4 linked regions of the Drosophila melanogaster genome follow. The gene in region 3 interacts genetically with the main gene of each other region. Each region holds a gene or a part of one and is shown on either strand. Other genes may lie near its edges.

Region 1 (5,595 bases), about 12 Mb from region 3:
TGGGCGTTCTGGCTGTTCGTTTTCAGTTTTCCGTTGATTTCCTTTGAGCGGCTCTTCTTGGGTTTTCTTGGCCGAAAATTAATCGTCTCATTTGTCCAAATGCCCGCTCTTGGCTTTAATTTGGGAATTAATGTTGTTTGGTAATAAAATCGATTTGGCTTCCGTATTTGCCTTGCTTCGGGAAGTGATTTCTCGGCCAAGTGAGATATCAGAATGGGAAAAGCTTAAGGGCATTCCTCTCTTCCTGTTCACTTATGACCTTCCATGCAATACAGTGGCATTATGTTAATCCCTGACATAATGGCTAAGAAAGGCCGAGAGGCCAGCGGACTAGGTCAATAGGAATGTTGGCGAGATAATTGTTCATTACCTTAATCTATTTGAATGTTCCTAATAAGAGGGGTTGTGGAAATTATTTTAATAAATCCATACTAATACAAAACTTCTGTTTGTTTGGATCGTTAAATTTCAAAACTGACGTTATAATATTTTGTAAGTAATCAGCACTAATGGTGTTCGGGTTTTGAATAATACTCTTCCAAGTCAACTTATAGATCAGATGTCCTATATCTACTGATTTATCGATGTCGCAAGCTCATCTGCGACAGTTGATAAATTAATTCGCCTGACTGATTGACTTGCAAACGTGTTCGCTTGACATATTTGCACGTGTCTCGTGTGGCTGTAATTTGATTTTGATCTATGGCCAATTAATCGCGGCCCAAGAGGGGTACCCGTATTACCATTGGCCTAGTCAAGCACAAACAGCGCAGCCCAGGCGCCTCACTGGGAAAAGGAACAGTAGCTGCAGTGCAGTGGCTAGCCCGGGCTAATCATAATTTGCATTTAATAAATATTTCATTAAGTAATTGCAACAATTACGTGCATTTGCAGTGCTACCTTAAATTAGTGCAGCGCAGCCGACCAGGTCATAACTCGGAACGGCGGGCTCCACAGCCGATCCGATCCGATCCAATCCGGACGAGGGGATTAGCATTTCAGTCGGATCAGGCGCTCAATTACCGCTGGATGCTCGATTTATATTTACTTTTATAAACAAACTTAATTCGATTTTTGTGGCACTCTGGTTCTGGTTAATAGCGCCGCTCCGACTCATGCATATGCATATTTTCCCACTTTCAGCGGAAATCCTTCTCAGGTGACAACTGCCTGCTGTTGGGAGAGGGGAAAGGGGTGGAATGGAGACCGCTTTGCCGCCGCTTCAACTGCCAGTTAGGCTAGGCGGACAAAGGTGGAAATTCCGCTGTTCTCTCCGCTCGGTGACTTTGTCTTGTGAATGAAAAAGTCCGCTCGAGCAAACGGTCCGTGTCGCTTGGCCCTAGCCACAAAGCGACATTATGTGGCCGAAAGGACGCCATTTTGAATTGGGCCTACTCGAGCTCTCTGCCCTCTCTCGAAACGCTCAAGGGGGCGTGGCGAGGGAGTTTCTGCTCTCAGCAGGGGGCGTGCTGGGTGCGCAGGTAGTATGTGTGTGTACGAGTGCGGCTGCGAGGGTGTGTGTGTGTGTGTTTGACAGGTGAGCAGGTTGGCCCGATAGACTGGTTTGTCGCTGCCAAAGGCGGCCACTAGGTGGCGCCACAAGTACCAACTCCAAGGAGGCTTTAAGACTCCCTAGAAAGGATTTTCAAATTAAAGGTTCCATTAGAAAATGATAGCAGACCTGTCATATATACCACGCTATGTTGTTTGTGTGCGTAGCGTTTTTTCCTTACAAGCAAGCCCACCGATTGTAAAACGTAAACAAATCATTAAGTTAATTCGTCTGTTGTCCGCAACTGTTGATTACCCGTGGAAATGCGTGTGCCACAGTTTCGATTGATCCGAAAATAAGACCCGAAAGGAGCAGCGGCTAAATAAGAAGACAAATTATAGGTTCAACAATCAATTTAATAATTGAGACCTTTGCATTTAATCAACATTATTTAAAACGTCAAAATATTTGCACTTTCCACGGGCAGTTCCCCCTGGAATTTGCATATACACGCCGTAAGTTCCCCAAATCCGTGGGGACGCGGGGCGACAGGCCACGCCTCAATCTCGATGCGGGCCCTAGACCTAGACAAAGTTGACGAGTTGAGCGGCACAAAAACGGGGTCCCAGAGCCCAGCCCCACCCCCGTGCACCCGGAACGGGGAAATTTATAGTATTGGTGCGGTTTCTGCACCACCATACAGAGACACCACCGAGAAAACCGGTTGCAAACCACCCGATTGGCGACGCTCGGCGAGAGTCACTGCCAGCGGCTTGGGCCTCAGCAGCCGTCCCGCTCCGACGCACGGCGATGGATGACATCTGCGCCGCTCGCACACCACTGCTACAGAGCGGCAAAGCGGCACGGCCGCAAAGCGACAGCGCAGCGAGTCGAAGTCTCGCGCAACCGCGCCGCGAAAACCTCACCTAGTCGTATACGCACTTTGTTCGTGTGCAGTCGTCGCCGCTGTTCTCGCCGTTGAATTGCCGTCGTCGATCCGTCGTAGCGTTTTGCGCCTTGCGTTTCTGCGTCGAGCTAAGTGATCCGTCGCGGACTATAAAGTGATTTGTAGTGATCTGATCTGATCTGATTTGATATGAATTGATTTGATTGATTCGCAAAACGGAGTTGAAAATCGTGAAAATCTACAAAGAATATGCACAGCCAGAAATCGAAGTGATACAAGAAAGCAATTTCGAGTGAGTTGAGTTGCTAACAAGTTGAGTGTCAGTGCTGAGAAAAGTGCCTCCTCGCCATCTGAAAGGATTTACGCGCTCAACAGTTCCGCCAAATCAAGTCGCCGAACTGAACTGAAGCCAAGACATTGTGTCCTACAAAAACCTTAGATACGCAAGCCACACACTCCTACTGTGCAAGTATAGCTGATCATTGCCATCGGATCTCTGAGAACTTCCTTCCCGCGCGCATCCCCCTGAACAGCCGTCAAAATTCTTGATAAAGTGGCCTCAATAGGCGCCAACACGCTCAATTTCACGGACCTAGGGAGCCCCTACGAGGGGCCTCCCAGCACCCCCCAGTCGGGCATGGACGCCCCCGACGCCCCGCACACGCCCAAGTACATGGACGGCGGGAACACGGCGGCCAGCGTCACGCCCGGCATTAACATCCCGGGAAAGTCCGCCTTCGTGGAGCTGCAGCAGCACGCCGCCGCCGGGTGAGTGTCCCCAAGATCAGTGGAGTGGAGTCACCGGGAGGATTGCAGAAAGTGTTTCGGCGAAAAGACTCGATCCCCTCCAGACTTCAGCCCTGCCAAAACCAAACCTATCGGAACTCAATCTCAATCTGTGCGGAGCAGTTGACACACCCGAGAAAAAAGGAGTTTGTGGCCAGGGCGTTCCCAAAACTCGAATATGAATCTTTTTAATGAATCTAAAGAGCGCTATACGTACCATAAAACCATTTGGTCTTTAAAATCATTTCATTCATTTCAAGGGAAAAAGTTAGTTGGCATAGGACTACAAGCTGCATAATTGCATAAATAGATAATATAGTACATTGACATTACAATAAACAAATTCAATTTTTAATAATAAATAACAGTTGGTAAAAGCAAGCAGTTAAATAAAGTCAGGTTAACTCAAGAGTATATTGTCTAAGTAGTTCATATAACTTTTTAGGGTCTTAATTACTGATTACATTACAATAGCCAATAGTCTTATTTCGATCGATACATAAATTTTACTATTAAAAAACTTGTATAATTATTAGTTGTCTTAAAAAATGAAAGCAACCAATTGTAGATTTATGAATTCGTCAATGTAATCCAAAGTTAAAAATTATTTTGACTTCCATAAAAATGTACTTCTAAAGTAACAAATGTAGTATAAATTCGAAATCACAATTTTAAATTTCAATTTGCCAATTCGCCATTTAGCCTTCTCTAGGCCCTCAGCCAAATCGACTAAGACTGAATCGATGAAAGTTGCCGTCAGCTTTCCATCTTTATGATACTATTTTCGGGATCGATTTCGCGTTGGGGTCTCGCTATACTATTAGTTTTGATTAAGAAAATCACTTCAGCTGCACTTTCCGGCTTACAGTTCATGCTGGTGCCTGGCTGGCCGGCAGCGGAAGCCAAAAATAAATTCAATTAAGTGTAGTTTACTCCCGGTCCGTGTTCTAAATAAGCGTCTGATCCGGAGGGTTCTGTTCCTATCCAACAACACGTTCCTCATGGGGTAGCAATAAGTCGGGCTCGGTGGTCTGTTTACTGTTACCGCTCACTCGGCGAACTGTTTGCAGCCGCAAATTGTTTTCCCAACGCACGATTCGATTTTTCATTATACATATTTTATTGCATTCTTGGTTTTGAGCCTTGCGGTTTCCACTGCTCTGTCATTTGTGCGTGTTGGGCTCTTGGGCTGGGACGGGACTTGGAATGCTTGGCTGCGCCGACCAGCCCTCGGGAGTTGTTCCTGGCCACGACTTTTCTCCGTCCCCGGAGTGGCTGCCATGTTGTTCGCTGTTCGCTGTCCGCTGTCCGTTGTCCGTTCTCCGTTGTCCGTTGGCCGCTGTCCGTTGCGGTTTCTGCTGCTTTCGGCCCGCTTCCGTTTCCGTGTTTGAGGGGCCAGGAGAGCATTGAATATTTCATGCAGTTCGCTCGGAACATAATGCATGGGAACTTGCTCAACTGTTTCGCCCGCAAAGTGTTAACAAAATATTTACCGCGAGCGAGCGGGACTGCAAACGGAACTGCGGACCAAACCGAAACTAAAACACAGCGACTCTGACACTCGTATTGATTTTTCTTTGATATATTAAGCCGCATCCAGTTCGGGCTTTGGATAGGTTTTGGTTTTGTTTTTGGTTTCGGTTCTGGTTTTTGTAAATGAAGTCATGGCAAAAATTTCCTTCCTCTCCGCCAGCCTAATTTTTTGTTGTGAGAGAAAAAGTTTTGGTTTCGACGCTTCTTGCATTAAACATGAAACATTTTGGGCCCACTTTTAGATATTTTCCCGACCGAACGCTCGTCCTATGCTCGGCGACGTTTGAATTTAATAGTGAATAGTGAAAAGTGTAGACAAAACACGCAAGTAGGAAAAGTTTTGTCCCCGGCACGATTCATTCACATTCACAGCCGGTGTACGCCACTTCCATTACTTCCACTACTTCTTCCACAACTGCCACAGCTATATTACAGCCCCGTATTGATTATTTTCCGTGCATTTGCGGCATTCCAGGTACGGCGGCATCCGGAGCACCTATCAGCATTTCGGACCGCAGGGCGGCCAGGATTCCGGCTTCCCCAGTCCGCGCAGCGCCCTCGGCTACCCGTTCCCGCCAATGCACCAGAACTCCTACTCCGGCTACCATCTGGGCAGCTACGCCCCGCCCTGCGCCAGTCCACCGAAGGATGGTAAGTACTGCTCCTCCTTATCCGATCAGTCTCAGGCCCAATCCCAGTCCCAATCCCATACCTACTCTCCCAGAGATCCGGGTCTTTTGTTGAGAAAGAGATCTTGAAAAGATCTCGCTCGTTGCTTCCCTGTCTATTTTTTGGCGACACTTCAACTCGAGAGCTCAACGCCGTCGAGAGCCATTGTGGTCGCCTTCTGCGGGCTTTGTTTGCTCGTTCACTTCAA
Region 2 (5,655 bases), on a different chromosome or scaffold from region 3:
AAACAAATCGTCCTCTGGCGGATCGGCCAAGTCGACCGTTTCCCAGTACCAAACGCGCACATAACCGTCCATGCCCACCGTCGTCACCTCACCGTTCTTCATGGTTATCCTCGTAATCGGTTTGGTGTGGCACGGTTTTCGACCCTTCCGGCAGATCTCGAACTTTATGAGCCCCGCCTGCCAGAGCAGCATGTTGCCCCAATCGCTGCCAGAGATCACATTCTCATCCTGCAGCATGTACATGGCATAGATATCGCTGAAGTCCGTCTTGCCAAAGCGACCCAGATCTCCTTTCAGCTTCAGGCCGGTAAAGGTGTTGGCCATCTTCCAGAACTTGATGTGGCTAAGCCCGGAAGAGCAGAGCAGGATGGGATTGTGCTCCGAAAAGTGCACGAACAGAATGTCGCTCTGAAAGGACTTGGCACGCAGGACAACCTCAGCGTTCTCCCAACGCCAGATAGTTATGATGAAATCCGGATAGCCAGCCTGCGAGGCGAACAATTCCCCCGTCTTGTTGTAGGAGCCCGCCGTAAAACAATTCTGAGCTGCATTCAGTAGCTTAACACGGACATTAAGCGATGGATACTCGTAGATAAAGACAGTGGGACGAGCTCCGTTCTCGCCCACCGTAAAGAGGTTGGTGTAGTCAGGATGCTCGTTTTTCTGGCAATGGAGTACCATTAGATCATACAAAGGTACTCAAAGGTACTAAAAAGCTCACCGTTATAAAGCCCACTCCGCAGCCGTAGACCGTTTCCTGAAAGGAAATCTCCTGGCGCGAAATGCTAAAGTAGTTGAGGAAGTTTCCAGAGGCAAAAACCAGCGTGTCTGAATCCACAAGGACCAAATTAAACAGCTTCTTACAATCGTAACCAAAGGAGTGTCTGCAGCAGAAGTTTTCCAATCAAGAAAAAGTTATCAACTTCCAATTCCGTACTCACTCTACACTGACGATATCACGCGGAAAGGATACGTCGTTCTCATTCTCCAACTCCTCCTCTTCGCCCAGCAGATCAGATTCCTGCGTAGTATCCATATTATTTAGCTATTATTGTACAAAACTTAACTTGCTGTGTATTTATTTATTTGATACAAGTGAAAAGGTTTACTTGAGTGTTTGTTTGCCTGTTGCCAGGTCACATGAAACCGGCTATCTGAAAAGAGTTCTGCAAACGTGGAGCATGCGCAGAAGTGCGTTCAACAAGTTTCATTCAATGCTATAACATTCTCAAATACAATTTATTACGATTAACTCAATAAACATTCTAGGATTAAATTCCATTACACAATCTAAATATCTAATTCCAAAAAAGCCTCATCATCATCATCGTTAAAGAACGCCGCGATATCCGACTCAGCCTTGTTTACTTTGGTCATTTCTGTATTATTATTTTGCTCAGGCGGCTCTTTAGCTGGAATAGTTGAAAAATATTGTTTTATGCTATTCCTTTCCGGTTCAAGGGAGGTGGACGTGGAGGGCGAGAAGTACTCCTCGATCTTGTGGGACTAAAAAAAAAGTTGAGTTAGCGAAAAATACATTTTTCAAAGTATTCAAAATGTATCTTACTGAAGTGGGTGCTGCTGTGTGTGTTGCTTTCTGAAGATTTTCGGCAAAGATGCCCACTTTACTAAGCACCTCTTGCTTATTTTTCAGCATGTTCCAGATTATATCGTCTGCCGTATTGTGAGCAATCAGATAGCGACAAATCACCGGTTTTGTCTGACCAATGCGATGGGCACGGCTCTCCGCCTGGGCAAGAGTCTGCACATAAAATAAAACTAAATTTAAGCGTTCTCCAAGTTAACATATAAGCGAAGCTTACGCTAGGATTCCAGTCCAGTTCAGCGAACACTATGATCTCAGCTGCAGTTAGCGTTATTCCTGAATTGCAGGCTTTTAGGGAGAGCAGGGCCACCTTACAACTGCTCTTCTTTTGGAACGTGTCCACAGAATCCGACCTGTGATCGCTACGCGTTTGTCCATCAATACGTATGTAGTGTACTTTCAATCCACTGAGGAAGTCGCTAATGGCGTCCATCATGACACGATGGTGGGCAAAGATAATGAACTTTTTCTGCTCCTTAACTAAGGTTTTTAGGTAGGCGCTATAATGCAGGATAATACATTAACTTCAGATGGTTTATATGGTTTTAATGATTTTTTTTATTACCAGACCGCTCGAGTTTTCACTTCGGCAGTGCGTGCATAGAAACGGAGTAAGATCTCTTCCGTTGCCCTGCCTTTAGCGGTTTTAAGCTCTTTGTTAAACGCATCCAAGGTTTCCTTGGTCTCCGCATTGGTCCACACTAGGGCGGGATCCAGGACGACAGTCTCACTGCGGATGGAAGAATGTTCGAAATGTTAGAAAATATATTATAGATATACAACAATGTGAACAACCCACCGGTTCTTCTCAGCGAGTTGAGGCAGCACCTCCACTTTCGTTCGCCTCAGCATATATTTAAGGTGAAGTATGACCTTCAGTTCCTCCAAATTCGATTGACCATTGGCATCCCAACCAAAAGTTGACTGCTTTCCATCACAATAACGAGTAGCTGTGAATGTGTTAATCGATATAAGCGCGTTCTAAGGTAAACAGACATTCTTGACATACTGAACTCCATGAAATTCATGAATTTGCCATCAATCATTTGCAGTTGCGTAAAAAGTTCCAATGGCCGGGAGAGAGCCGGTGTGCCGGATAGCAAAACCACCCGCTTCGCCTGATCCGTGAGTCTTTTGGCCGTTGTCGTGCACTTGGCCTTGCTGTTCTTCAGCGTGTGCGACTCGTCGAAGATGATGAAACCAAACTTCCGCTGCATCAGCTTATCTTCGTGTCGCTCCATCATATTGTAGCTGGTGATTAGCACCTTGGCCTCACCCACATATAGCTGATTGTTGTTCAGCACCTGGACATAGTGGATGGGCACCTTCGGCAGTAGATCCATTATGTGTTTCGCCCAACTGTCTCTCGTAGAAGCGGTGGTGCAGACAAGCAAGGGCCAATCATCCTTGAAATAGTCGGCTACGGCCAAGGCCTGATAGGTTTTGCCCAGGCCCATTTCATCACAGATCATAATGCGTCCCTTTTGGGCTATGGCAAAGCTAAACATATGATAAATTTAGCGCTTTTGGAAGTACATAGCATACAAGCAATGCTTACCATACCCCATCCTGTTGGAAGGGCATTAGCTGGTCCGCCAGCTTCGGTTCTATGGAAGCTAAAACACTTCTTTCCGGAACTACTGGCGGCTGGCCGCAGAGATCCAGCACCTTCTTCGGAATGCCATTCATGTGAACATATGGCTTTAGATCCGCTGCATGAGTTTTCAGGGATTGGTAGTCCGACAGATCGAAACTCCAGATACGGGTTTGGCCATCGTAGCACTTGGTGGGCATGTTCTTGAACACGGTCACGAGCTGTTCGTGATATCCTGAGGTTTGGGCAGCAAACCGATGTGTGCTGATCAAGTAGAGATTACACGTGATGGAGTTTCCGAGTAGCACAGCCACCGGTTTCTCCTTATCCGAACTCAGTGAAAGAGTGGGCTTGTTTCTTTCGTTCCCTCCATTTGGCCGCTGGTAAGGATGTGCTGCTCCGCGGGACAATTCCCGGTTGGATGTCTGTTTGATTGCTTTCAGAGCGTTCAGAAAGGATGAGCTCTTGTTGTCACCGGGCGTGGGACCGCTCCTGTTGATCTTCTTCTGCTCCCCCGTCGGTGATCGGTAGAAATTCAATGGGGATTTGGCCTGCGGTTGATTGGGATTTGATTTTCCATTATTCGCATGTTGCGTCGCACCTGTTGCAGACGTTGTTGATTTTCCATTGGTTGCGGGTGCGCTGGCCAGCAGCTGGGATTTCTTGGCCTGCAATTTGGCCAGCGCAATGCGCTTCTTCTCCGCTATCTCGGATGAACTGCAAGTGGACATGCTGCGACATCAATTGATAAAATTTGGCGGAATATATAAACAATAAATGCATGGCTCTGTGTGACCAGGTGAGCCATTTTTCAATCCTTACATCTTACATTGGGCGCCTATTTTAAATTATTTTTACATTTTACATACTCTATGTATACATTATTATGTATATATTATGTATAAATTATTTAGTCCTTAAATTAAATTAAAATCATTTCTGTTTTCTTATATTGCCTACGTCGGTTGTAAGCGAAGATAATCAGCTTAGAATTTTTCCTAAAAGCGAGTTATTATTTTTTTTGCCTATCAAGATGTTCTTAGACGTGCTATCAATTAATTTCCATTGGTATCAGAGGGCGAATTTCTTAGAGATAGGATAACGCCGAGTGGGGGCTACTCCAGACAGCGATAAGGGGCGCAATAAAAACGGATGGAAGTCTGGCGCAGACCACGATTGATCCAATCACCATGAAAGTGTTCGTTGTACTGGCTCTGGCTTTGGCCGCTGTCTCCGCCGAGACTGTCCAGCAGGTTCATCCCAAGGACCTGCCCAAGGACACCAAGATCAATGGCCGCATTGTGAACGGATATCCAGCCTACGAGGGCAAGGCTCCCTACACCGTGGGTCTGGGCTTCAGCGGCAACGGCGGCTGGTGGTGCGGTGGTTCTATCATCGCCCACGATTGGGTCCTGACTGCTGCTCACTGCACCAACGGCGCCTCCCAGGTGACCATCTACTACGGAGCCACCTGGCGCACCAACGCCCAGTTCACCCACACCGTCGGCAGCGGCGACTTCATCCAGAACCACAACTGGCCCAACCAGAACGGCAACGACATCGCCTTGATCCGCACCCCCCACGTGGACTTCTGGCACATGGTTAACAAGGTGGAGCTGCCCAGCTTCAACGATCGCTACAACATGTACGACAACTATTGGGCCGTCGCCTGCGGTTGGGGACTGACCACCGCCGGATCCCAGCCCGATTGGATGGAGTGCGTCGACCTGCAGATCATTAGCAACTCGGAATGCTCCCGCACCTACGGCACCCAGCCCGATGGCATCCTCTGTGTGTCCACCTCCGGCGGAAAGTCCACCTGCTCCGGTGACTCCGGTGGCCCCCTGGTTCTCCACGACGGTGGCCGCCTGGTGGGTGTCACCTCCTGGGTTTCCGGCAACGGTTGCACCGCTGGCCTGCCCTCCGGATTCACCCGTGTTACCAACCAGCTGGACTGGATCCGCGACAACTCCGGCGTTGCTTACTACTAAGCTTGATTATCTTTATTTTTAAATAAACGAAATGCATAACAATTAATTTGACGCCTTTATGTTTCTGGTTTTATTACATTTAAAAAATCACATGGATATTTTTAAGTTTCAAAAGTCTAGTCATGCAGAATCCGAATCTATAATAAACGTCTTATAGATAAGAAGCCATGAATGGCTAAGAAATGGGATGGTTTCTTGGCAATCGAACACTTGTTATCTGGAAAACATGATTAAACACTATATATGTAGCCATGATAGACATAAGTAGGAATACTAGCAACTGTGGTCTATACTAGTCAATAATCAGATAATGAAATAATATATATATTTACCAAAAGATTATATATTCCAAAGGATTATTATACTGACAAATCACAAAAGCGAAGTGATATATTTATTAAATATATGAAATATATTTCTAAAAAATAATACAACTTTCGTCTTTAAAATATTTCACTTTTTAC
Region 3 (5,277 bases):
TTATATGTATGTCTTGTAAAATTCTACCACCAAAAAACTATTCTCTCTTGTTTTGTTCTTTGAAATGTTTTCGGTAAAATATAAAACGAAGGGTATTCTAACACGACATTTTAACAAATGAACTGAAATATAAGTATTTACCCAATTTAACAGGGTTGATAGTTTTATTAAATACAAAATCGGATATAGACACTAAATAGCCACTGCATCGTTAATGTCCTAGTGTATAATTTGTATTGTAAGGACCACATTCCTTGAATGATTGGAAAACTTCTCTGTGTAAGATAACTCTATCCTAACCTGGTTTTTAAAAGGTTTGCAATTATACATACATTTATCTGTTTTCGCAAGAACAAATTATGATTTCCCATAAGTGTATAGCATTTCTTCAAAATGTGCATGCAATTAATTCATCGACAATCGGATAAAAATGACGTATTTCGCGATGATTAAGCTGTCAGTGTTCTATAAAATGTGGTTTCCGCTCTTTATTACGTTAAAAAGTTATGGAAAATGTATTTAAAAAATGAATATCTTACAAATCGCCGCTATGTAGAGCTAATGTAATTTCCTACGTGCATATCTATTAATCGAGTGCCCATCGGTGTGCCTCCTCAAAATATAGGGTATATTTTATTTTTAAACTGTTTTTATTAATACTACATCACTCTTCTAGAGCAAACGTGGGCTTCAGACAGTCTTCCATGATAAATAGGAAGCAGCTCTTTGAAAGGATCTATTTCTTAGTCTGTATGCACAAAGGGGTATACTGCTTCTGCTGCTGCTTATACCCTGCTTCCAGTAACGCTCTTTTTGGCATACGGTAAAAACTGAAGTTAACATGTGCATATAGACCACATAACAATGCATTATAAAAAAAAAACCCAACACTTAGAGATTGCGTGAAAAATGCGGCGTCATTTGCGAAATTGACATTATCTTTTATCGCTAGAAGTTTTTAGATCCCCGCTCTAAGCTAAAGACGAGCATGAAATCACTTTGTGTAGAACGCGCCAAAAATTATTCAAGGACAATGCCAAAGTCCTTTGAAATGCAAATTTTCCATTCTGTTTTGCCGTTTTCCCCCTTTTCTGCATCGCAAATCAAGAGGCGGCAAATGATGCGAGAGAACGCACTTTGCATATGGCCAAAAACAGGTTCGTCGCGGATTTCAACAAAATGAAATGCCAACGGCAGACCAACAAAAAAAGGAGAAAAAATCTGCGAAAACGGGCATTTTTGTGTTAATTATAAACGCCAAGGCCAATACACGGGCACACTGCACGCACATACATACGAATATGTGCGTTAATCTCTCTCATTTGACAGTTGGATTCAATTAGAAACGACGCCACCCACACAGTTACAGAGTAACCTCAATTCGTGAGAGTGCGACGCAGACAGCCTGCTGATGCCGAGCGCCCCCCTCTTGTCATCTCGCTCGTGCAGCGATGTGATAGGTTAGTGGTGGTTCTCTCGTGTTTCACTCGTGCGGCTCTCTCATGCGAGCCGAGCGATTTTGGGCAGCGACAGCGCCAGCAGGTCTAATTTGAATCAGTCTGTGGAAACTTTTCGTGCCGTGCACTTTGTGAAACGGAACGGAGAATATATTTTTGTCGTGGCGCGAGCTCAAACGAGTGCGAGAGGGAGAGAGCGCGAGAGTGAGTGACAGAGAAGCAGCGAAAATCTGTGCGTGTACGAGAAATCGATAACAGCAGCTGAAGTGACAGAAGAAGAAGACGAAAAGGCAGTGGAGTAATCGAAAGCGTGTGTGTTCGGTGTCGGCGAATGGATTTGTTTTAATGGAAAATCCAAAGGGAATATGCTACAGAGGAAAACTCTTCAAGTAACAACGCAATTGCTTTGAGTACGTATGCGGGAAATAAAAACCAAAAAGGAAAGGGAACATGAAATTTTCCCTCTCACATGTATGGGTGAAAATTTTGTAAACACAAATGCCCTGGTGTGCGTGCGTGTTATTCTCGCCGCGTATTGGAATTTTCGTCGTGCGGCGAAAACGTCGACAGTCGGCGAAAATGCGCCCGCGCAAAAGTAGAAAGTTTGTTTGTCGTCTCTCTCGCCGCGGCGAATAGATACAATTTTGTGTGTGTCGTGCGCTCTCGCCTAACGGCGAATTGAGCGCGCAAGTGGCAGTTGGGATTTCTCGAATTGGATTTCAGTTGAACTCTGGACGCGGCCGCGGAAAAATCGTACCTCCAGAGTTGTTGCGATTTTACGTAGATTTTCGTCCATGTTTTCGTCTTTTTTGTGAGTTCATTTTTCGGACAGCCAGCTTGTTGCGTGTGTGTGTGTGTGAGCGATAGAGAGTGGGAGAGAAGTGGCGAGTGTGTGTGTGTTCAACCACCCTGCGGGCGCCCGTGCCGGTCGAACTGTTATTGTTGTTATTGGATTGCCGACACTTTCAAGCTGTGACCATGTGTGTGTGTGTGGGTTGGTGTGCAAGTGCGCGCCTTTTACGAAATTGCGGCGTATAAACAGAAAGCGGGCTAAGGAAAATCAAGAAAAGCGCTCGCCAGCGACGTCATCAATTTAAGAGCGTCATCAAACGTGGGATTGTCATTTTCCAGCTGAGTGGGCGTAGGCACACGAACGCCAACCACCCACTTTTCTGCCCAACTTTAGTTCAAGCCGCTCGGTCTTTTGTTTTTGTCTTGTTCGCTTTTTGTTTTGCTAGCACAGCCTCCGTTCTTCTGCCTCCCCTTTACCCAACTATGCCACCCTCCTCTTTGCGTGCCATTTTCGCGTGAGCGGCAAACGAAAATAATCGAAAGGCAACGGAGACAAAAAATGGGCGAAGCGATGCGACTTTTGGTTGCGCTATGCGATGGGCGGTTTAGATGGGGTGGCTGTGGATTAAAAGTGCTTAAATTTGAAGAATACTTAGTTAAATAATGAATAATGCAGTGCCAAATTCAGTCACAATTCAACAAACTTCAACTTGCCGACTGACTGAATTGAGGGGAATAAAGATGGCCTATTCCAGAAGAAATCATCATTTACACGCAATTTTGTTTCTAATTATGCAAATGCGGGAATCTTTAATGAAAATGAAGAAAAAGCATTCAGCTAAAAGAAATTGCTTTGCGCACAATTATTTATCATACTGATGATAATTAGATGGTTTTACTGTACTTTCTACAGTTGAACAGTTGTACCCCAAGTAGTCACTTTGTAATGCAGATCTTGTTGATCCGATTAAAGGCATTTCTTTTTATTATTTATGTTGGTAATTAATATAATGTCAAAAATATATAGAAATATATATGTAGTGAATATTGTATTGAGTTATACGCTTTTATGGAACTTTTTAAAAGGGGTTTTCGAATATTGACTTACATTTCAAAATCTTAGGTACACTAATTGTTACACACAAGTACTTCAACAATAGTCCCAAGAGTAACTTGAAGTTTTCCTTGGTTTCCTAGGAGCTATCCGAACAACCTGCTGATCCACTATGCCCTGAACTTTGCCCTGAACTCTCGGCTGCCTGCCATCAACTCGCAATCATCGTCCGGGCATCGCCATAATGATGAAAATTCAGTTTCCACTGGTGTGCAGGGCACAAAAGCGTAATTTTCGTAGTTTTATGGTAGATAAAGAGGGGTCTGAAGCGATGGGGCAGAAAAGGGGGGCGCCAAGCTAAAACTAGCTTCAAGTACACCGTCGAGTGCACATCGCTTTCTGTGCGCTTCTCTCGGCTCTTCTCGGCTTCTCTCGGTAGGTGCCCTCTGTGGCACGAAGGGCGTACGAAAGACCAAAGACCCCACCTCCCAGTGCCCGCAGACCCCCCTGCTTTCCACCCGCCCACAAAGTTGCTACTTTTGTGTTCTGTTTTGTTTTTTATTCTATTTTTTTATTCATATTTTTGTGAGCTGCAAGCACATTGTTCCGATTCATGGATATGGATGGCTGCCTTACTAGTCTAAAGTTTTCTGTATTGTGCGAGTGTGCTGACGTTGCCATATCTTTTGGGACAAGATACAGATACACGGTTGATATATCTGGCTCTGTGGCTTTTTTGTTGACGAGCGACAACCACAAATGTCGACAACAATGATGATGACGATGATGGTGATGGTGCTTGTTGATGGGATTGTGTGCTGGCTGTTGGTTCTCACAGTTGTGTGTCTTTTTCCTAGGTTTTACTTGGCCCCTGTTACCCCGTTTCCTTTGTGCCCTCGTCATAATTATGGAAAGACCCTAACAGTTGATTAGCCATCATCAGTTGTCACACTAGTGTCACTTGTTGAGCGAGCACATGCCAAACATGGATATGCCGAGTCCTAACCCCCATCCTTGTTCCTCTTCCAGGACCCCATTGAAAGAGGCTGCTAGGAGTAAGTATTGAGGCAGATAGAATAGGCAGAAAGATGCACCTGCAAAACACGCACAACACAATGGAATCAAACGCCGCTATGGATGCCGCATCCCCAGCTTCTCGGGATGTCCGGCAGTTTCATGATCTGATAACGTGCCGACTTTGTCGCGGTTATATGATCGATCCAACCACTGTGGATTACTGTTATCATACCTGTAAGTAGTCTTAGATTCCAAAGAGTACCTTTAATATACGCATAAAACCAATATCTTGTATTAATTGCATGTAATTTGATCATTATTTGTTTGATCACTTTTACCATTTTAAAGTTCATTTATAAAGTTAATTTAAGGTTGTCATGATTTACAATATTGACTGCCCAAGTTAGATCTTAAACTTTAAGATCATTACTAAACAATGTAATCACAGCTTCTGGTAGTTCTTAAGCTAAAATACACATTTTCCTTGATCATTAAACATATTGTTATTCGGTTTGATCTATCATTTCTCAACAGATTGCCGGAGTTGCATACTAAAGCACCTGCTGCGAGCGGTATATTGTCCGGAATGTAAAGCCAGCGGAGGCAAGGAAATCAATGAATTGAATCTGAAATCGGATGATACGTTGCGATCGCTAATCTATAAGCTAGTGCCGGGACTCTATCAAAGGGAGTGCAAGGAGCTGGCAGATTTCAAGGAGCAGCACGATTTGGTGGATGAACAAACGACTGATGAACCGGAGTTCTTCACAACCACGGAACTTATAAGGTAGGTTTCAGCTAAATGCTAACAATGCTTAAACGTGTAAAACTAATTTTACTAATAAACTTTTTGCTTTACTTTTCGTTTATATCAATTAGCTTATCCCTGGAATACCATCCCGCCATGCTGCATCAGTGTGGTCCTGGTGAGGTGCCTCCCACTATTTACCTGCAATG
Region 4 (5,471 bases), on a different chromosome or scaffold from region 3:
TACAACAAAATGGGTGCCGTTGAGAAAAAATCCAAAGGAGCCGTGTTCCTCAAACCTTCTCCACTTGTTTTTCTTTCGACTTTCAGATGGTGAATGCAATATAGAATCAAATCAAGTGAACGCGAAGTAAGCAAATAAACGATCTGAGTTTTTTTTTGTGTTGGTGTTGTTGTGTTGTGACGAGGAAAGTACGACATTTCGATGATAGTCGCATTGCAATATAAAGTGCAACATAAATGCTATAGAACCGAATGTGAATGTGAGGAGCCATTGAGCTGTGAAATGTGAAAATCGCAAAGAAATCGAGAGAAAACGCACACGTCAATGTAACCACAAAGCTGCCCCAAGAAAACGAAAAGTAAAATATATAAAGAAATTAAAAAATAAACTAGCAAACTGAAAGCGCAAAATTAAAAAAAAAACAACAAATCTCGAACTTTGTTCGAAAGCCAAAGTATCTAACAAAACAATATTTGTACATAAAACACCATCGAATAGTATATATATATATATACATATATATCAGATATATATACAGATGTGCTGGCGAAACTAAAAGGAGGAGAACTCAAGGAAAAGCCAAAGCGATTTTTCCGCACATTTCCACTCGAAAGCGACTCCAGTAAATTCTCAAAATTGCGACCCACGCTTTTCCCAGTTCGGCGGCGTTGAACCACAATCAAAGCTGCTGCACCACCGCCATTTCCGCTGCCATTTCCACCAGCACCACCATAAATAGTAGCAGAAACACCGCTCACAGAATGCCAGTGAAAAAGCAAGGTAAGCGAAAAATTGCACTTTTATTCACTGCCCACCTTTCCCACCTTTCCCTCCTTCTTCTTCTTTTTTTATTTTCTGTTCTACATATCTGTCTTTGGCATTACGTGGAAATCCATTCAATTGAATGGACCTTATGAATGGTGGACAGTGAAAACTGTTTGCCAGTTTTCAGCAATTGAAAAAGTAGTTTAAAACTTAACACAATGGTTTAAGATCACATTTTACATAATTCTATGCATAACAAATTTAGAAAAATAACCTTAACTATTGTGAAATAAAGTTAGAACCTATTAAAAAAGCTATGTCTATGCAAAACTGCATTGATTTGCTGGTGAAAGTTTTAAGCACCATATAGTATATAGAAAGTTGGCATTAGTTTTTCAATTGTAATTTTAGTAGATCATTTAACTTTTACGTGCTGCGCAAAGTTAGCCAGCAAAGCTGCTTCCAATTACACACGAGATGGCACTTTTGGCCAAACAAACAATGTATCCAACTGTGCATTGGAAGCTATGCAACAAAAAAAAAAAAAAAAAATACATAAAAAACCAGCTAAATTAATGCAGACAAAGAATTTTATTTGATTATGTCACATACAAATCATATTTGGGCAACTCAAATGGCCAACAGAAGAGATGAAATGAAATGGTGCGGAAGGGGGAAGGGGGAGGGGGAAAGAGAGGAGCCGCAGCAGACGGAAAATGGGAAAACCGGGGAAAAGCGCTGCCAGCAGCCTCGCAAATGGTCAGTGAAGGTCAACGTCGGCGTTTGACGCGTGCTGAGGACATCAAACTGCGGCCACAGATACAATGTTCATTTAGATACGAGTATGTATAGTTTGGTTTGTGTGCTCTGTATGTGTGTGTGTGTGCGTGTGTTTTGGGACCATAATGCGACTCGATTATAATAATAAATTATGTGTTTAATTTTTTGGCAAACGCGGCACGAATGACAAGCCAGCGACGGTATGGCACTTGACCCCTGACCTCTTCGCATGGGGACATCAAACTATGCGCAGCAACACACAACTTCGTTGCTATTCAGATTTTCAAGTTAAAGCATTTAGGATGGGGAATTTTAGGCACACACCCTTCATGGAAACAAAAAAACAAAAAAAAAAAAGCGTTAATAACTGGCGTCCGACAAGCGGTGAAAAATGTTTAAAAAGCGTCAATCTTTATTGATTTATCGGCGGTAGCAGCCACCAAACTATAGAACCATAATAGAGCTCAAAAGTCTAGCCAGTTGAGTGCGGCACTTGGGCGCGAAGAGAGGTGTCTTCTTGGCTGGTCCTGGTAATGGATTCGGATACGGACTCGGAGCGGGAGAAGAGCAGCGATCCCAACGAGGGACTGCTCAGTAGCGATGACAAGACATTCCACGACGATGATGAACCGGCGGAGGATTCCTCTCCGGCGGACGATGAGGAGGAGCCCGAGGAGGAGGAGTGCCTGCTGCCGCAGAAGAAGGCACAGATTCGCTGCGACCAAGACCAGCCACCTTTGGTGGTCTTGGTACAGCCGTCGGCGGAAGCCATAGAAGTGCGCCAAGAAATCGATGATACCAATCCGGTGGCAGTAGCTGCCAAAGCTAGCGATATGGATGGGGATTCGCAACTGGAGGTGATGGAACACCAAATGGAGACCGTAACCGAACCGGATCCCGAGCCTCCGAAGTGTCCAACATCCCTGCGCGATAGTGTCCGCGAGTCCGTTGAATGCTTCTATTCCGCCCAGGATCTTCTCGAGTACGGACACATGCTGTCCTCCACTTCGATGGTCCGAACACCGGATGTGGAGTCTGGCTACTTTGAGAAGTCCGAGAGCGATGCTTCGCGCGACGAGTGGGAGGGTCCGTCGTCGTCATCCTCGGGCGCAGCCCGTTGTCGCCTTCTCTCCGGCATTTCCGGACTCTCCGTCTCTTCGTCGAGTCGCCACAGTGCCGAGGGTTTGCGCATGGAACTGAGCCGATTTCGCACCATGATCGAGACTCTCGAGCGGGAAAGTCTCGAGAAATCGCAATCGGAGCTGCAGTTGAAGGCCAAGAGCAAGGCGAAGCCAAAGCCCAAGCAGAGATCCCACGTACAGGATGCGGCTGGGGAAAGTGGTTCGGAACAGGGTTCCGAGAGGGGCTTCTGGTCAACGATCTTCGGCCAGGCGGGTCTGGCGATCAGTCAGGATGAGGAGGAGCGCATTGCGGACATACAGAGTAGGCACTAATCCAGTGGGGAAAAATGGGCAGGCAGAATCCCTTGGTCTTTTGGGTTGATTTCATAATAAAACAATCGAAGATCATTTGTACTAACCATATTCTTTTCTCTATATATTTCAGAAGCTCATCGGGCTCTCGAGCTGCTCGAGGACTACCACGCGAGACTTTCGGAGCCGCAGGATCGGGCGCTGCGTATTGCAATCGAACGCGTTATACGCATATTTAAATCTCGCTTGTTTCAAGCGCTGTTAGGTGAGTAATCGATAATGTATCGATTAAATCGATGAAAATATCCTATATGTATATCTTAGACGCTATTCGCGTCGCTCGTAAGTTTTTGCCTTTAAAAATATCTAAATAATTGCCGCTAGATAAGTGCATTTTTGTGAAATACTTTATTATATAGGTCAGTGTGCTAAATAAGTTTTTCACAAGTTCGTTATAAGCAAGAGCCTTAACCAAGCTCATCATCATCGTCTATTGATTCTGAAACTTTAAACGCAAACAAAGTTGCGAACTTTGTGCCAAGATTGTTAGAAAGTAGTTGATGAGCCGGAAAGAAAGATCCTTGAAAAGTAGTTCTTATCTGTGCAGTTGTCTATCGTCCATTGCCTATCGCCTATCGATTTTCTTGTCCCTCCCCTCGCGTTGCAAATTATTTTCACTTGACAAGCAAGCAGTGAGCACAAAGTAGCAACAAAGGGAATTGCAGCAACAGCGACAGCAAAACGATAATATTGCATAGGATTTGGGTCAAATAGACCAAGCAGCGCAGCGCAATGGAAACAGCAAGCGTCCCATAGTAATGCGGCTAATTCAGCTTGTTTTTTTTTTCTTTACCGACTCTGGTTACTCAAAAGGGTCGATAGACGGCCTGATTAGTGCTCCAGTTGCATCATGGAGTGCATTTTGGTGGCATATGGCGAAGGAGCCATTGATTTTCACTAGCAACTTGTTGGTTTCCCTCATATTACCTATAGTCTCAAGCTTAAGATGAACCTAATTATCACTATAACTAAATACTTTCCTATTAAGAAAAGTTAATTTCCCTGCCATTGTTGCCTTATCATTGTATATTTAAGCAGTTTTTTAAGCCGTTCCCATTTATTGAGACATTTTTGCCCAAGATTTGACAGCTTGTTTTTCTCATTTGACAGTTTTGTCTGGATTAGCTCTTAGCTACTTTTGGATTTTTGGCAGCACTGTTTGCAGTACACTTTTTTTTTTGCTCGCCCATCTTTTCTTTTTTTCAGCAACGTATCCGCCTCTCATCTCTCTCTGTCCATATGTCCATCCATTTCGAGACGGGCGGTTGGTTTGCAGTTGTCTGTTTTGTGGGTCTTGCCTGTTGTATAATTTGCAAAAGTTCTGCTCTACCGCCGTGCTCCATCTCATTCTAGTCCCCTATGGCTCTCTCCCGCTCGCTCCGCGTCTCGCTCTGTGACCCCGTCCCTTTCTATTGGACCCCTGGGTGCAAATTGTGTTGCCCGCTGTCAGTGGCAGTTGCATAATCCTTTTCGTTTCGTTTCGCTTGGGTCCTCTCCCCCTACCTCTTTCCATTCTTCCCATTGTTTTGGTTCTTCTTGTCCCTATTCCTCTTGTTCGGCGTATCCCGCTGGTGCTTCCTCTTCTCCCGTTATCGTTACAGTTTCAGTGGCTGCGCTTGGCGTGTCAGAAATGTTAAACGGCTAACAAGCACACACAAACTCAAATGCAAACAAGCCAAACACGTGACACGTTAGAAAACAGGAGCTTTTGTATGGCCAAACACAAGGGTGGACCTTAACTTAAAAACTCGCAGGGTCGCACTTCGACAGAACATGATCAGTCACGTCGCTCTGCTAGTTTAGAAGGAAAGCTAAACTAAATTGAAGAAGAGAGTTTTTAAACACGATGCCAGTACTTGATTTTTCTTATGATAGATATGGGTCACATGTATTACGATAAAAAGAGTTCACAGCCTTGAAATCAACCCACAGTTAAGGTCCACCCAAGGGAATTTGAGGTGGTGTATGCATGTGTGTGCGTGTGAAATAATTAACAAGGTATTAGCCGCATCCCAAACACCCGAAACGTATGTGTGTGTGTGTGTGTTTTGGGTATAGTATCAAACTTGAGGTTAGATTCCAGTCTCTTTCCGTCTCTTTCCCGCTTTTGTTGAACATATTTGCATTGAATCTGTTATGCTGTAATAACACTGAAAACATTTCAACTGCGTTTGAAAGCACTACTACTGTGCAACCGAATAACACTGCGTATGAGTAATATCGTTGGAAAAACTATGTTTGGGCATCAGAGTTTGATTTTTTTTTGCCATAGTTTTTGGCTTGGTTCTCAGTGTTGCACAGGCACCACAATTGACACTCAAGTTGAAGCGAAGGATAGAGATAAGGATGCGCCAGGGGTTGTGTGCGGGACGGGGGGGGGCAAAAGGTCATGAAGAGCCATGTGCGGGCGAAATCCCAATTTAATTGGCCTAG

Evidence for each region.
Region 1: of Su(z)2 (region 3) and Dll, changing one enhances a phenotype caused by changing the other (phenotypic enhancement), as found in Drosophila melanogaster (one study listed by BioGRID).
Region 2: of Su(z)2 (region 3) and Marcal1, changing one suppresses a phenotype caused by changing the other (phenotypic suppression), as found in Drosophila melanogaster (one study listed by BioGRID).
Region 4: of Su(z)2 (region 3) and dlg1, changing one enhances a phenotype caused by changing the other (phenotypic enhancement), as found in Drosophila melanogaster (one study listed by BioGRID).

Annotation. Positions count from the first base shown.
Region 1 is NT_033778.4:24,812,401-24,817,995, forward strand, and holds the start of Dll (Distal-less), read left to right. Parts: upstream 1-2,421; 5' UTR 2,422-3,036; coding exon 3,037-3,167; intron 3,168-5,193; coding exon 5,194-5,369; intron 5,370-5,595. UniProt on the Drosophila melanogaster protein: Transcription factor that plays a role in larval and adult appendage development. Specifies the identity of ventral appendages (including legs and antennae) and suppresses dorsal appendage development. Involved in patterning the distal-proximal limb axis.
Region 2 is NT_033779.5:4,953,859-4,959,513, reverse strand, and holds Marcal1 (Marcal1), read right to left. Parts: upstream 4,006-5,655; 5' UTR 3,932-4,005; coding exon 3,165-3,931; intron 3,107-3,164; coding exon 2,616-3,106; intron 2,557-2,615; coding exon 2,406-2,556; intron 2,337-2,405; coding exon 2,172-2,336; intron 2,107-2,171; coding exon 1,824-2,106; intron 1,763-1,823; coding exon 1,568-1,762; intron 1,507-1,567; coding exon 1,291-1,506; 3' UTR 1,222-1,290; downstream 1-1,221. Other genes in the region: CG34124 (uncharacterized protein), read right to left, coding at 1-663, 722-884, 942-1,036; Jon25Bi (jonah 25Bi), read left to right, coding at 4,391-5,191. UniProt on the Drosophila melanogaster protein: ATP-dependent annealing helicase that catalyzes the rewinding of the stably unwound DNA.
Region 3 is NT_033778.4:12,994,945-13,000,221, forward strand, and holds the start of Su(z)2 (suppressor of zeste 2), read left to right. Parts: upstream 1-1,556; 5' UTR 1,557-1,867; intron 1,868-2,178; exon of another isoform or gene 2,179-2,268; intron 2,269-4,332; 5' UTR 4,333-4,391; coding exon 4,392-4,554; intron 4,555-4,854; coding exon 4,855-5,107; intron 5,108-5,199; coding exon 5,200-5,277. UniProt on the Drosophila melanogaster protein: Regulates expression of the homeotic selector genes by influencing higher-order chromatin structure through interaction with other proteins.
Region 4 is NC_004354.4:11,373,731-11,379,201, forward strand, and holds the start of dlg1 (discs large 1), read left to right. Parts: upstream 1-2,032; 5' UTR 2,033-2,078; coding exon 2,079-2,988; intron 2,989-3,111; coding exon 3,112-3,243; intron 3,244-5,471. UniProt on the Drosophila melanogaster protein: During embryonic development, some isoforms are essential for proper neuronal differentiation and organization. Required for cell polarity; maintenance of apicobasal polarity.